Diceros bicornis minor: one gene and its partner. The protein of the gene in region 2 purifies or fractionates together with the protein of the main gene of each other region. This does not show direct contact. Links are inferred from orthologs where the notes say so. Each region holds a gene or a part of one and is shown on either strand. Other genes may lie near its edges.

Region 1 (7,715 bases), on a different chromosome or scaffold from region 2:
GGCTAGTTACTTAACCTCTCCGAGCTCCAGCTTCTTCATCTGCAAAACAGGGATAACAGTAGGTAAATAATAATATTTACTTATTTTACAGAATTGTTTTGAGGATTAAATGAGAATATTCAAGTAAAGGGTCTAGTATGGTGCTTATATACTTTACATACTCAATGAATGATAAGAAAAAGTGAACACTATCTCAGGTCACCTTGTTTCTTAATCCAGTGTTTTTCCCCCTTAAATCTTGCCTTCAGTGTAATTGAAGTTAAGTCAATAAACATTTACTAAGAACCTATTAGATGCTGATGTGGTTGTTGTTATGTTAGAAGGAGGCCAGTTCTAAAATCCTACTTAGTTATTAGTTTAAGCAAAGCTTGTCTTGGAACCTATATCGAATCATTTCCTATTCACTCTTCCTATTGATAACATAAAATTGATTTCAAATTTGAGTCCTTTTTGGTGAAGGAGTAATAGAATAGAATAGAATAGCAGGGTTATTTGAGGATGAAATGAGTCATTCTACGAAAGGTACCCACACATGGTAGGTGCTCAATAGACAATAGTTATTATCCCAGCAATGCACACGAGCTGAAAGACTTTCACACCTATGATTTATGGAAGTGAAAGTACAGAGAGGTCCTCTTTTCTGGTTTAGTTTTTTGTTTTTTTTTGGTGAAGAAGATTACCCCTGAGCTAACATCTGTTGCCAATCCTCTTTTTGCTGAGAAAGATTGGCCCTGGGCTAACATCCGTGCCCATCTTTCTCTACTTTATATGTGGGATGCTGCCACAGCATGGCTTGATAAGCAGTGCGTAGGTCTGTGCCCGGGATCCAAACCCGAGAACTCTGGGCCACCAAAGCTGAGCGTGCGAACTCAACCACTATGCCATCAGGCTGGCCCCTGTGGTTTACTTTTGACCCTAGAACTAAGCTTTCAGGCATCATCTAGAAAAAACACTAATTTCCTGGACATAGTCCTATTCTTGTTTACTGGCTTTTGCTAGCTATAGTTCCAACTCTCTAAACCTAATCTAACTTTCTGTCCCCTGCCCTTCCAACAACTGCCCTTCCAACAACTGCCTTGAAAACTTCCCAGGTTAACTTGTTTGCCTGGATTCTATGTTCCCACAACCTGTAGATAATCAACATATACCATTTGTTTCTTGGCTTCCGCAATTCTCATTTTGATGTGCACAGGGATTCCTCCAAAGTTCTGCAATAAATGTGTTTGAGTTCACTGTATTTATTATTGGTTTTCCTATATGCAGGTGTAAACTAATAACGAGACAGCAAAACACAGTGTTTACGATCATAGATGCTGGAGCCAGACTGCCTGGGTTTTAGTTTTAGCTCTGCCCCTTACTCTGTGATCTTGGGCAAGTTACTTAACCTCTCTGTGCCAATGTTTACTTATGTGGAAAAATGGGATAATAACGCACCTTACTTTCTAGGGTTCTTATGGACATTACATGGGTTAATATTTGTAAAGCACTTGGAACAGAGCCTGGCATATAGTTAGTGGTATATAAGTGTTTGTTATAAAATACTAGTTATCATTTATAAAAAGCTTAGCTATCTACCAGCCACAGAACATGTTACTTTCAATCCCCTTAATCACAAAAGGTAAATTATTTATACTGGTGTTCTAGAGCTGGTCTGTGTTTGCTTAGGAGAGCCAAATGTTGAAGTTTCAGAAAGTTTGCAAGTCAGTTGTTAAACAAGGCAATTACTAAAAATTAAATTATATAAATTTATAATTAAACAAATTATATTAAAAACAAAGACAATAAAGATTCGAATCTCATCACTTCCTAATTATTTTACTGCATTTTACTACTATTTATGCTCTTGAGGTTATTTGTTTATTGTACTTGAGTGGTGGAAATAATGGTGTGATATTGTGTACCTTTTCCTAACTCTGCAATCCGTGACATCAATATTGGTAGCTTGAAGTCTGCTATGGTGGGAATATTTACACCACAGAAGTTGGCAACCACTACAAATGAGGGCTTTTTTATTCAGTAAATTGGTTGTTAAACATTTATCAGTATACCACTGCATATTATTATCCCTTCTTTAAAGATGAAACTGAGGACTAGAGAGGTTAAATGATTTGCCTAAGGCCACACAGCTAGGAAGTGGTAGAGCTGGGATTCAAGCCCAGGTTTTTGTTTGTTTGCTTGCTTGCTTTTTAAAAGAAAAATTTTATTTCCAAAGCCCACATGCTTTCTATTCAGCTATGCTCCCCTGAGGTGGGAATGTTCAGGCTGGGTAGGCCTCGGCCACAAACAGAAAAGCTAACCCTTCCCTTCCCCCTCCGGCAACCTTACCCTTAAGGTACAAGCCCAACTCCCAGCCTACCCACTCCTGGGCCGTGGTCATTCTTTTCTAGTACCATTACTCCACCTCAGATTTGGAGATGCCTTTGGTCATTTATCTTATTTGATAATCCCATTACTATCTTGCTTGGGGTCCATTTTTACCCATTATCCCTTCTTCCCAGAATCTCTCTTCTTTTGTCTAAGGTTAAGACTAAATCCATTCTTTCCAATACCTGTACCTGTTTTCTATTTTCCTGGTTTGACAAGACTTGGGACAGTATTTAAGACTCTTCAAATAATCACTTTTCTTAAACTCTTTATTGGCGTGAACATACATACAGAAAACTATACATATCAGAAGTGTACAATTCAAATCATTTTCACAAACTCAACCTACCCATGAGACCAGTGCCGAGATCCAGAACCAGAACATCACCCTTTTCTCCGAAGCCTTCCACTTCCTACTCTCCAAAGGGTAACCACTAATCTGGCTTCTAAAAGTCATGCAACTCTCTTAATATTGGTATATCTAGGACCACGGTGGGCCAGCATTATCATCTCTCCCTTTGGCATAGGGTTAGTATTCAGACTCCTCTCTGGTGAATTATCTTGACTTATTTCCCACTCCTGTGTAGCAATGACAAGAAACTTGAGTTCCAATCCCAATGCTACCACTTAACCCTGTGACCTAGAAAATCCATGTCTCCTCTCTCTTTTTTTTTTTTGTTGAGAAAGATTCTCCCTGAGCTAAGATCTGTGTCAATTTTCCTCTATTCTGTATGTGGGACATTGCCACAGCATGGCTGACGAGTGGTGTAGGTCCACACCCAGGATCCAAACCTGTGAACCTGGGCCACCAAAGTGGAGTGTGCTGAACTTAACCACCAGGCCAGGGAGCCAGACCCAGCCATGTCTCCTCTCTTAAGCCTAGGCAATTTAGTCTATAAAATCTGGACAAACACAAGGCATTTGCAGGGTTGCTATCAGGATTAAATGAAATCTCACTCTCAATGCACCTGGTACAGTGTGCCTGGTATATAGTACTGTAATAGCCAAATGTTATTGATTTTATTGTGTGCAGACATAGTGTGAGGGGTTTATGTATATTATCTTGTTTATAACTCTGGCCAAATAGAATTCTTTGATTTCCTCATCTTCTCTTTCTCTCAGTCTTCTACATCTCAGTAGTCAAATGCTTTACCATTTACCTAACAATTTAGGTTCCAAATCTAGGCATTTTCCTTGATTCCTGTCTTTCCCACACTCCTCTCATCTACTTCATCAGCAGGTTTTGCTGACTCTAAAAAGAAGACCCAAGTCACTCAGGTCTCTCAATTTCCACTACTACTATCCTACTTTAAGCCACTACCATCCGTCACTTAAATCTCTTCACAAGGCTGTAAGCTATATGTGAACAGGTTCTGTGTATTATTGATCATAGCTGTATCCCCAGCACCCCAGCACCCAGAACAGTGCCTGGCCCTTAGTAGGCTTTTGCTAAGTATGTCTTGAATGAATGCATGTAGCAACAAACGTTCGAAGTGGGTACTATTATTACTTTCATCTTATAGATGGAGAAACAGACTTGCAGTGGTTAAATAACTCACTTAAGGTCATACAACAAATATCAAAACCAGGATTCAAATCCAGGCTCTAACTCTAGATAACTGCTGGATTATCCATAATGCTGCTGCATTGAACTACATTGGCTGATGCTGAAGTCAATGATAAAGGTTGTTTTTTAGTGGATGTTAGGAGAAATTTTAGTTGCAATTCCCCAACCTGAAAACTTTTCCCGAGAATAAAGTCCATGTGCCCCTTCACAGAGCCTTGTAGGCGCAGCATGATTTGGCTTCTCCCAAGTCTCATTCCTCCTCTTTCTCCTCTTCTCCCAACATTCCAGCTATGGTGAACCTTTTTCTCTTACCAGCAACGCTCCTGCCTGTATCTGAAACACTCTGCTTCTCCCATCCCCTCTGGAAAACCTTCCCGAATGTTCGATTCTGAGGGATTTATAACAAGCAGCACCTTATCCCTGCTGGCATTACTTTACTAATACTACTTGTTTATTTCCGTCTCTATTGTTCACTGCTGGGTCCCCAGTGCTAAAGAAGTGCCTCAAATAGAATAGGTACTTGATAAATATTTGTTGAATAAAGGGATGCAAGAGCAAGGATTATTTCATCAACTTTCATGTGGAGAGACTGTGGCTCCTCGAGGTGAGGTATTTTACCCTGGGTCAGTCATTAACTAGCAGAGCTGAGATTTGAAACCAGAGATTCCCAGACAGCCCGTCTAGTCCACGCCCGCTCTCCCAGCTCCTCACTTCCGCCCGCTCCTACAAGCTCCGCCCACTTCAGCCTGCGCCATCTCGGAGACTAGTTTGACCCTCGGACGGCCGCCGTAGCGCGTCGCCTCCGTTGCCGTGGGAAACGACCCGGGACCTGGGTGGGAGAAAAGACGTTTCCCGCCGGCGGGAGCTGCGCTTGTGGCGGCAAGGGGAGCTCTGAGGCGGCGGGGACCGGCGTCGCAGCACCATGGCGGACCAGCTTTATCTGGAAAATATAGACGAGTTCGTCACGGACCAGAACAAGATCGTGAGGAGCTAGGACTGGGGAAGGCGGGCGTGCGACGGGGGTCCTGGGCCCAGCGAGGGCGGCGGGGGTCTTGACCCCTCGGCGTGTGTCCTCGTGGGGACCGGCGAAGGGAGAGGGGGGTCCACGCCTCGTGCCTCAGGGCCAGCGAGGACTCGCGGAAGAGGCCCTCTGGCGCGCGCGCAACTCCGCGTCCCTCGAGTGGGCGTGCCCACGCCCCAGGGGCCGTGGAGGTCAGGCGCGGAGGGCGGGGCGTTGGTTGATAATATTTCTAGGGTGTCCCTACACCTGTCTGATAAGGTGGTTGGCGTTTAAGTCCCAAGTTTACAGTTGAGGAAATTATGTCTTAACTGGGTTAAGTGACAAGTTGTTGAATTTTCTGACAGTCGGTTTCCTCTTCCTGTAAATTTGGTATGGACACAGGCTTGACCTGCCTCACAGGTTGGAGTAAAGCTCAAGTGAGATGATGGATGTGAATGCGCTTTGCAAACCGTGGGTAATTGAGTGCCTGCTGTGAACTTTGGATCCACATTATTGCATTTAATCTTTACGGTGACCTACCGAGAGTTAGAAAAGGAAGTTGAAGCAGAGGGGCCAAATAATTTCTTTATACAAATAAAGTAAGGATTTATACGAATTAGTAGGGGATAGGCATTTTTCCAACCTAGGTCTGTCTCTTGCTAATGCTTTCTTCTACATCATACTGCCTTTGCCTAACCTATGTAAGTCTTCTAATTATTGGAAACAGCATTTAGAATTGGAAGACTTTGAGAGGAGAGTGATAGGCATGCAAGGAGGCGACAAGTGACAGGAGAGTTCAAGGAAGGATGGAAGGAAGATCAAGGCTTGATGCATTTAGTTCCCAGTCTACCCTCTGATGCAGTATTCATCCACTTCATTCATTCTCTGGCCCCTGCACCACTGGTGCCCTTTAATGTTTGTTTGTATGGCTGCAACTTTCCTTAGAAGTTTCCAAGTCATACACTTCAAAGAAATCTAGCTTCTGGGTGAATTTGAAGATAATTTTTGGTGGTGGCCCCAAAAAGGGACAGAATGTGAAAAAAAGAGCCTTAGTAAAACAAGGAGTGTGAGAAAAATGAGAGCCCTTTTCTTTCTATGTATATTCAACCTTTCTTTTTAGACTCTTTTGCATTAATTGGTCTGTGAAACAAACTTCTTAGTATTTGTAAGAGAAATCTCTCCATCCTGCCTGCCCAGATGGATCATTCTTGGCAAACTGGGGTGGCATCTATTGTAATTTATAAAGTGTAATCATCTAAGAGTAGGACCTTTTAGGACCCCCTGGGACTGACCTGCACTCTGGAGTCATCTGATAAAACGTTTAAAAAATTTCTTCTTGCAGGTGACGTACAAATGGCTGAGCTATACACTAGGGGTTCACGTCAACCAGGCCAAACAGTAAGTCCAATTTATTACTAATTTTAATCGCATTGGAGTTTTTCGTTTTGCTTTGTTTTTTAGCTTTACAGATGACCTCTAGGTTAGAATTATTTTTTTTTTTCTGGAAAAATGGGAAAGCATGCTATTTTTACTACCTTTTACTACTTTTATTATTTTGGAGATAAGTGGACTTCTACTCAAATGTGTGGTGATACATTTACTGGGTTTATTTGTAACCTTGCCCTCTGGTTAATATCACTTTGTTATATCAAATTTATTAAACAGACTAGCCAGTTCTGTTTATACCTCAGATTTATATGCCTGTTATCTCACATCTTCATTATGTTTTCACACGTGCTCCTTAGGCCCATCTCTGGGTGTTATTGACATACTTCCATAATGAGGTCAACAGGTGTTTTACACAAGCTGTATAATAGTATGAGACGGGAGAACTTAAATAGTTTTTTTAACTTCACTTAAATAGTGAAACTGAAAAGCGAGTGTTTAGGATGGCATAGAGCATTACCTTTCTTGAATTTGCCATATCACTTTTCCTTGCTGAAACTTATAGTCCAACTTGAGGCCAAAAGGGAGAAACAAACTTTGGAATTAACTTCAAAAATTTCTTGACCTGCAAATATGCAGATGTTGTTTATGTCCCAAGAGGAGGAATTGGTGAACAGGCTGAGGGCACATATATTGCGTGAAATACTCATTTAGTTTGTTTTATTCCTGAAGGTAGTCTGATTTTCCCTATTCCTTGAGTCATAGGAACATTCCATGAGTCTTAGAAAATCCCGGATCTCTAAAATGGGTAGATTTGGCTTTATTTGGTTTGCTGTTTGACAGATTTAGGAATCTGATTTTGACTGTGATGTTTATGCCTTCAAGACCTGAAACTCTTGGCCCAGGAATGGGTTTGGACTGATTTTGACTGAGATTGCTGTTGCTAAGACCGGTCCTGGCCCAAACCCAAGAGGTTCAGGTAATTTTGAGAATGGACACCTGTAAGAGTAATAATTTGTTGCGGTTATGAACGTTTAAATATAAAATAAGGTAACTATTAGATAAGCCTGTTGGGGTTTAAAGGTGCATGTTGAGGACTGGAGATGAAATAAATTTGCCTGCAATTTTACTGTAGCTACTCTTATTACTTGTAATTTTTATAGAATTAACATACTGTTTAGGCCCTGCCTATCTACCAACTTCATCCCATGCCACTCTCTACCTCACTTATACTCTAACCGTATTTGCCTTTCTGTTCCTCATATATCCCAAGCCCGTTCTCACCCTGGGACATTTGCACCATTCCCTCTGGCTGGAATGCTCTTCTCCCAGCTGTCCTCATCCTTTAGGTTTCAGCTCCAATTTCACACGTTATTTCTTGTAACAGCCCTTCCCTAA
Region 2 (7,233 bases):
GATGTGGCAGCAGATGGAGACGCCCTCGTCGGTGACCCCGAAGGCGCGGAGCACAGGCACGGAGCCGAGAGGTGGCAACGGCGCCCAAGGCAGGGGCTGTGCTGGGCCTGGGGGCGTCACAGGGTAAGGCAGGGGCTGCCCTCTCAGACTCCTCAAAGGTTCGCCTCCCCGGGGCCCTCCCGTGCCGGGAACGCAGCCCCGTTCCTGCAGCTCGGGGCCCTTCCGCGCTGTGCACGCCGCCTGATTTCAGCCCTGGCGTGGAGGCGAGCCCCGCCTGCCCCGGGCTCCGTTTCCACCCTTGTCCCCCTAACGTCCACTTTCCACGGCGCAGCCAGACGGAGACCCCCACCCTTTTCTGCAAATGCAAAGATTTTCTTTTAAAAAGTAAAATCGACTTTGTATAGTGTTACGAGCTTGAACGCACATACACATTCACGTAACCACCACCAAAATCGGGGTACTAGACGCTTCCGCCACTCCGGACAGCTCCCTCGAGCTGCCCCTCTGCAACCACGCCCCCCTCCCACCCCACCCCGGCACTGACGGTCTGTTCCCCGTCTAACTGCGTCTTTTCGAGACCGTCCCTGTGAATGGAGTTGTACAGCCCGTCACCGCTGGGTCTGCCTCGCACTCAGCACGACACCCCTGACATTCATCCTCCTCACGCGTCAACAGCTCCTTCCTCCTTATTGTGGAGAAGCACTGCGCGGTGTGGATGGACCAGAGTTTGCTTATCCGCTCCCCCGGTAGCAGGATATGTGGGTTGTTTCCAGTTTGGGGCGGTTATGAGAAGAGATGCTATTAACATCCGGGTACAGGTTTTTGTTTGAAGCGAGGTTGCTGTTTCTCTGGGGTAAATATCTAGGGGTGGAATTGCTGGGTCCTATGGTAAGAGTAGGTTTAACTCTTCTTTTCTTTTTCTTTCTTTCTTTTTTTTTTTGCTGAGGAAGATTGGCCCTGAACTAACATCTGTGCCAGTCTTCCTCTATTTTGTATGAGGGTCACCACCACAGTATGGCAGTCAATGAGTGGTGTAGGTCTGCGCCTGGGAACCAAACTCAGGCCGCCAAAGCAGAAGGTGCCAAACTTAACCACTAGGCCACAGGGCCAGCCCCAAGAGTAGGTTTAACTCTTTTATCTCAATAAAGCTGGAAAAAACCCACTAGAGTCCCAATGGACAAAAAGAGAGTAGCTTAAACTCGGTAAGAAACGGCCAGGCTGTTTCCCCGAGTGGCCGCGCCCTGCCGCGTACCGCCAGCACCTGGTGGTGCCAGCATATTTCACTTCCGTCCTTCTGAGAGGGGCGTGCTGTGTCTCCCTGCAGCTGTCACGTGCATTTCCCCAGGAGCTAGGGACACAGAGCATCATCCCACATGCTCCTCGGCCATCCTTCTCCTCCAGTGAGTTGTCTGTTCAAGTTTTGTGTCCACTTTTGAACTGGATTGTTCTCTTACTGTGGAGACCTGAGTGTTCTCTATATATGTGCGGCACGGTCCTCTGTCAGGCGTGTGGGTGATGAATGCGTCCTCCCCGCCTGTAGTTTCTTTTCATTCTATCACAGGGAGGCCTCTAATAGGCAAGGGGGAGCGGGCCTCTGCATTGCGAGAGACTCCCCAGTGCGCTCAGAACGGAGCCCTGAAGTCCTCGCGGGCGACAGGCTCTCCTGTGCCCCCTTGCCTTCATCTCTGCCCCTCGCTCCCCCACACTGGTCTCCTCGCTGCTCCTTAAACACACCAGACCTGCTCCTGCCCGGGACCCTCCACCCAGAACCCCTCTTTCCCAGACATCCCCTCTGCTCCTTGTCGCCTCCGCAGAGAGGCCTTCCTGGACCTTCAAGAAGCGTGGTCCAGCACGCCCCGCATCCTACTCCCCGCTTTGTTCTTCTATAACCCTCACGGCTACCTGCTGTCCCATTTCCCTTTTTATTTTGCCCCTCCTTCCAGAACGTGAGCCTCTGAGAGCAGGGACCTGGTCTGCCAGGAACAGGGCCTGGCTCGGTAGAGACGCTCAGCTGTTCCTGACTGACTAGATAAGTGGATGGATGGATGGATGTCACACACGTCTCTCCCCTCTGCAAGGAGTCAGTTCTTTTTACCTCCAGGCCTCAGCTGGAAGATGCTCCCCTCCTCCAGGAAGCCCTTCTGGATACCCGTGCCCCTCTCGACCCCCCACCAGACTCCTCGCTGCCCCCTCTGGGCACCCCCAGGCCTGTCCCTCCCTCTCACAGCCCCGGTCACCAGGGCAGGGACTGCCTGTGTCCATCTCCTCCCACAGAGCCAGCGGGGCTGACGCGGCCAGGCCTCCCCCGCAGGAGCCCAGGGCCCCTCCACCCACCCGCCAGGCTTCTGTCCCCCAAACTCACCTACGTAATGGTCGATCTCCAACTGCTGGAAGATGAGGGGCTCCGTCTGGGGGTCTAGGGGGGGCGGGGAGGGCCGAAGCCAGCGGGGATCTATGGCTGTCTGGGAGAACTGCCCTGCGTGTGGGGAGGGAAGCAGGGCTACATGAGTCGGGGTTCTCCCTCAGGATAAGTAACTGCCCTCCCAGCCCAGCCCGTGACCCCTCAGGTGGCATCCGATTTGTGAAAGGAGAGTCAGGGGAGGTGGTGGTCTGGATCAGGCAGGAATCTCGGGAGAGACTGTAGGATCAAGGTCAGAATAGAAACTGCAGGCAGGAAGTGGTATACTGGCATGGGGTCAAAGGTCAGCCCTATGTGGGGCTCAAAGTGGGCCAGAGGTTACAGGTCAGCTCTGTGGCTGCCTCAGATCAGAGGCAAGATGGGAGGGGGCGCAGGGGGCTCCCGCTCCAGGCCTCACCGTCCGCAGCCCCGTCCACGGCCGACAGTAGCTCCTCCTCCTCCTGTTCCTGCAGCCGGTGCTCTGCCTCCAGCTCCTCCATCAGCGCCAGATCCTCCTCGAACTGGGACGGCCCAGACGCCTCATCCTCATCCCAGAGGCCCCCCCGGGCCCGCTTCGGGGGCACCCCGGGCCCCGGGCCTGACCGCCGCTTGCCATCCATCCTGCCAGGCAATTCGGGGCTGGGTGAGGGTTCCCGCCTTCTCCGTGGCCTCCCGTGCACCCACCATGACTGTGAGCCTTTTGATTCTCTGGAGCGCCTGAAGGGTAACACGGCTCTCCACCCGCAGGCTCACAGGGTGCTGGAACGCTCCAGACGCCCAGTGATCATCAGCTGATGTAACTCCAGCCCACCCCCCAGCTCAGCCTAACCCTCTCCTCACACGCTCAGGCCCTCCACGTCCTTCTGTCCCTGGGTACTTGCCCCTTGCAGACCCCTCGTCACTGGCTCTCCTCGCCCTCTCCCCTCTCTGCCCATCACATCACATCATCGTTCCTTAGCACTTCCCTTTCTTTCCCATAAACCTCTGTCCTCAAGGCCCTCGCCCGCCCATCACCACATCTGCCCGGGCCTTCCCTCGACAAACAGCTGGGCAGCGCCCCCTTCAGGCCAGTCACTGTGTTGGGGGCCAGGGAGTGGCCTGAAAGACGGATCTGATCAGGTCCCTTCCCAGCTCAAAACACTGCACTCAAAAACAAAACAAACACAAGAGCCCTCCCTTTTTATTCTGAAATAATTTCAAACTCATAGAACTCCTGTGTAGCCTTCACCCAGAGTCCCCGAGTGTCAATATGGGGCCACATCTGCTTCCCACTCCCTCTCCCCACCCCCATATACAATATGCACAATTCAGATTACTATCTATTTTCCTATTTAAGGACATTCTCTTAAATAAGCATGGTGCAATGATCAAATCCAGGACATTTAACACTGACTCAATAATAATACAAAATAAAGAGTCCTTTTTCCAATTTCTCCAATAATCCCCAAAATGCCCTTGAGAGCAGCCCCCGCCCTCAATCCACAATCCAAAGTAGGAAACACAACAGCAAACCAAATAGAGACTGCTGTTTAGATGTGTTTACATGTATTCTTTTTCGTTTTTTTTTTTTTTTTTTTTTTTTTTGGTGAGGAAGATCAGCCCTGGGCTAACATCTGCCAATCCCCCTCTTTTTGCTGAGGAAGATTGGCCCTAGGCTGACATCCATGCCCATCTTCCTCCACTTTATATGGGACGCTGCCACAGCATGGCTTGATGAGCGGTGCATAGGTCCACGCCTGGGATCCGAACCCGCAAACCCCGGACTGCCGAAGGGGAGCACGCGCACTTAACCACTACGCCACCAGGCCGGCCCCTATCTGAGGGGTATATTTTGACAGGATATATTGATATACAAGTACATGTCCTCTAGTAGATTAGACAAAAGACTGTATTTAGGTTAAGCCTATTCAAGTTGGTAACTTTCTGCGGCTCAGAAAGAGAATATTCTAAGGAAATGCACACTTAAGTATTTAGGGGTAAATGGCCATGATCTATGCAAGCTGTTCGGAAAAGTTGTTTTACAGTGTGCATATGTACATAGAGAGGAGAAAAAGAAAGCATGTGTGTGTGCAAATCACAAAGTAAATAAGGAAAACTGTGAAAACAGGTGAATCTGGGTGAAGGGTACACAGGTGTTCTTGGTATTATTCTTTCAACCTTCCCATGTTTGAAATTATTAAAAAAGAAAATGAATTGTTAGAAAAGCACACATCTCTCAGTGTCCAGGCTGAGACAGAGGGGATTATGGGAGCCTAGAGCAGACCCCAGACCCAGCTGGTGGGGAGGGGAGGGGAGTGGATAGGTCAGCTGCCCAGGTTCAAGGGAACACCTCTGGATCCCACAACTATGCCCCCAGATCCAGTCTCCCCCCTTCATCCTTTTCAACACCGACCCCTTGCCTTGGGGCTGCCACAGGCTGCCCAGCTCGAGACTACGTTTCACGGTGTGCACTGCTGGGGTGGTCACGTGACCGAGTTCTCTCTCACGGAACGGGAACGACTTCAAGGCGTGCAACATCGGGGACAGCCTTAGAAGGAAGCTTGCCCTCCAGCACCTTCCCCCTTCCCGATGGCTGGAGCATGGATGTGGTGGTGGTGAACCAACCGTGACCACAGGGAAAAGGATAACATTCCAGAGAATGCAGAGCTACAAGATGGAAGGAACCCGGGCCCCTCAACAACCTTTTGGAGGTTTATGTGGAGAAATGAACTACCTACCTTTGGAGGGCTATGTGGAGAAATAAACTTGTATCTTGCCTGAGCCACTGGGCTTTGGGGTCTCTCTGTTACAGTGGCTTAGCTTAGACCTTAAATACAGCACAGAAAAATTCTGAACTGTTGGGGGTGTGTTATTGCAAACGTGTGGAGGTGGGATACAGTGGAATACCTCTCAGCATTAAAAAAAGAGGCAGCTACTGATATACATACACACAGGATGGATGAATCTCCAAAACACACCGAACACAAGCCAGACATGAGTACACCCTGGGGGGATGGGGAGTGACTGCTAACGAGCATGGGGTTTCCTTTTGGGGGCATGAAAATGTTCTAGAGGGGCCTGCCTGGGGGCGTAGCGGTTGGGTTCACGTGGTCTGCTTCGGCGGCCCGGGGTTCAAAGGTTTGGATCCCAGGCGCAGACTTACACACCACTCATCAAGCCATCCTGTGGCGGCGTCCCATATACAAAACAGAGGAAGACAGGCACAGATGTTAGCTTGGGGACAATCTTCCTCAAGCAAAAAGAGGAGGACTGGCAACAGATGTTAGCTCAGGGCCAATCTTCTTCACCAAAAGAAACAAAAAAAAAAAGAAAGAAAATATTCTGGAACTAGATGGAGGTGGGTGACTGCACAACATTGTAAGTATGGTAAACGCCACTGCACAGTACACTTTAAAATGGTTAATTTCGTCTCAATTATAAAAAGAGTATATATTGTAGGATGCCGTTTACACAAAGTTCTAGAATAGACTAAACTAATCTATGATGCTAGAAATCAGGCTAGTGGCTGCTTGCGGGGTGGGAGAGATTGACCGGGAAGGGGCACAAGGGAATTTTCTGGAGTGATGGAAATGTACTGCATATCCAGCTGTCCACCTGAGACCTGTGCATTTCACTATATGTAAATTACACCTCAATTAGAAACATAAAAGTGGGGAGGCTGCAATTCCACACCTAGGGGTTCATGCTACAGATATACTATCACATAATGAAAAAGTACATTTACAAGGTTATTTCCGGCAGCACTGTTTGCAATCACAAAAGACTGGAAACCACCTAAATGTCCTCCCCTGGGGGACTGTTTAAATCAATTACATTAATTCCGTTCCATGGAATACTATGCAGCTGTATAAAGGAATGAGGAAGCTCTCTATGCACTGATATGGAGGGCTCTCAAAGACCCATTGTTAGGTAGAGAAGGCAAGGTGCAGAACGGTGTACTTAGTGCTATCTTTTGTATGAAAAAAAAAAAAAAGATGTCAAGGAAAATGTTTACCCTGATTCTAGTCACTAGGAAACAATCAAACCAAAGTAAAGAGTGGTCTGTAAAAATACCAGTCTGGAATCTTCAAAAATGTCGTATGTCATGAAAGGGGGGAAAAAAACAGCCAGGAAACTGTTTTAGATTAAAGGAAAGACTACAGAGTGCTGACAACTAAATGCAAAGTGTGACCCCAGATTAGATCTTGGATTAAAAAATTGAAAATAGCTAAGAGTACCGGGACAACAGGAATAAAGACTGTCTATGAGATAATAGGGCTGTATCCCGTTAAATGGCCTGATTATGATAATTATACTGTAGCTACGTAGGCGGGCATCCCTGTTCTTAAGAGATACCTGGGGCTGGCCTGGTGGCGTACTGGTTAAGTTTGCGTGCTCTGCTTTGGCGGCCCGGGGTTCGCAGGTTCGGATCCCAGGCGAGGACCTACACACCGCTTGTCAAGCCGTGCTGTGGCGGCGTCCCATATAAAGTAGAGGAAGATGGGCACGGATGTCAGCCCAGGGCCAGTCTTCCTCAGCAAAGAAAAAGAGATACCTGCTGGGGTTTTTTGAGGCAAAGTATCATGATGATCACAACTTGCAAATAGTTCAGCCAAAAAAGAACCCAATGTGTGTATGCGTGTGTATGTTAACAACCGGTGAACCTGGGCAAGGGCACAGATTATCCTTGTCTTGTAACTTCTCTGCAGGTTTGAAACTTTTCAAAATAAAAAGTTGGGGGGAAGTACGTAAAAGAAAAACATTTTCACCAGGTGGGCTGGAGAATATGTATAAATATATTTGCTTTTAATGCATAATTCTGGAAAGATAAGCAATAAACTGGTAACACTGGTTTT

The links. Proteins that work in one complex are often made in the same cells at the same time.
Region 1: the proteins of POLD1 (region 2) and POLD3 purify together in Homo sapiens (co-immunoprecipitation; 8 studies listed by BioGRID and IntAct, with this or other methods). This does not show direct contact. The link is inferred for Diceros bicornis minor from reciprocal best matches to the Homo sapiens genes POLD1 and POLD3.

Annotation. Positions count from the first base shown.
Region 1 is NC_080746.1:56,440,905-56,448,619, reverse strand, and holds the start of POLD3 (DNA polymerase delta subunit 3), read left to right. Parts: upstream 1-4,706; 5' UTR 4,707-4,853; coding exon 4,854-4,913; intron 4,914-6,273; coding exon 6,274-6,329; intron 6,330-7,715. UniProt on the Homo sapiens protein: Accessory component of both the DNA polymerase delta complex and the DNA polymerase zeta complex.
Region 2 is NC_080773.1:25,594,040-25,601,272, reverse strand, and holds the start of POLD1 (DNA polymerase delta catalytic subunit), read right to left. Parts: upstream 3,020-7,233; 5' UTR 3,019-3,019; coding exon 2,817-3,018; intron 2,477-2,816; coding exon 2,363-2,476; intron 108-2,362; coding exon 1-107. UniProt on the Homo sapiens protein: As the catalytic component of the trimeric (Pol-delta3 complex) and tetrameric DNA polymerase delta complexes (Pol-delta4 complex), plays a crucial role in high fidelity genome replication, including in lagging strand synthesis, and repair.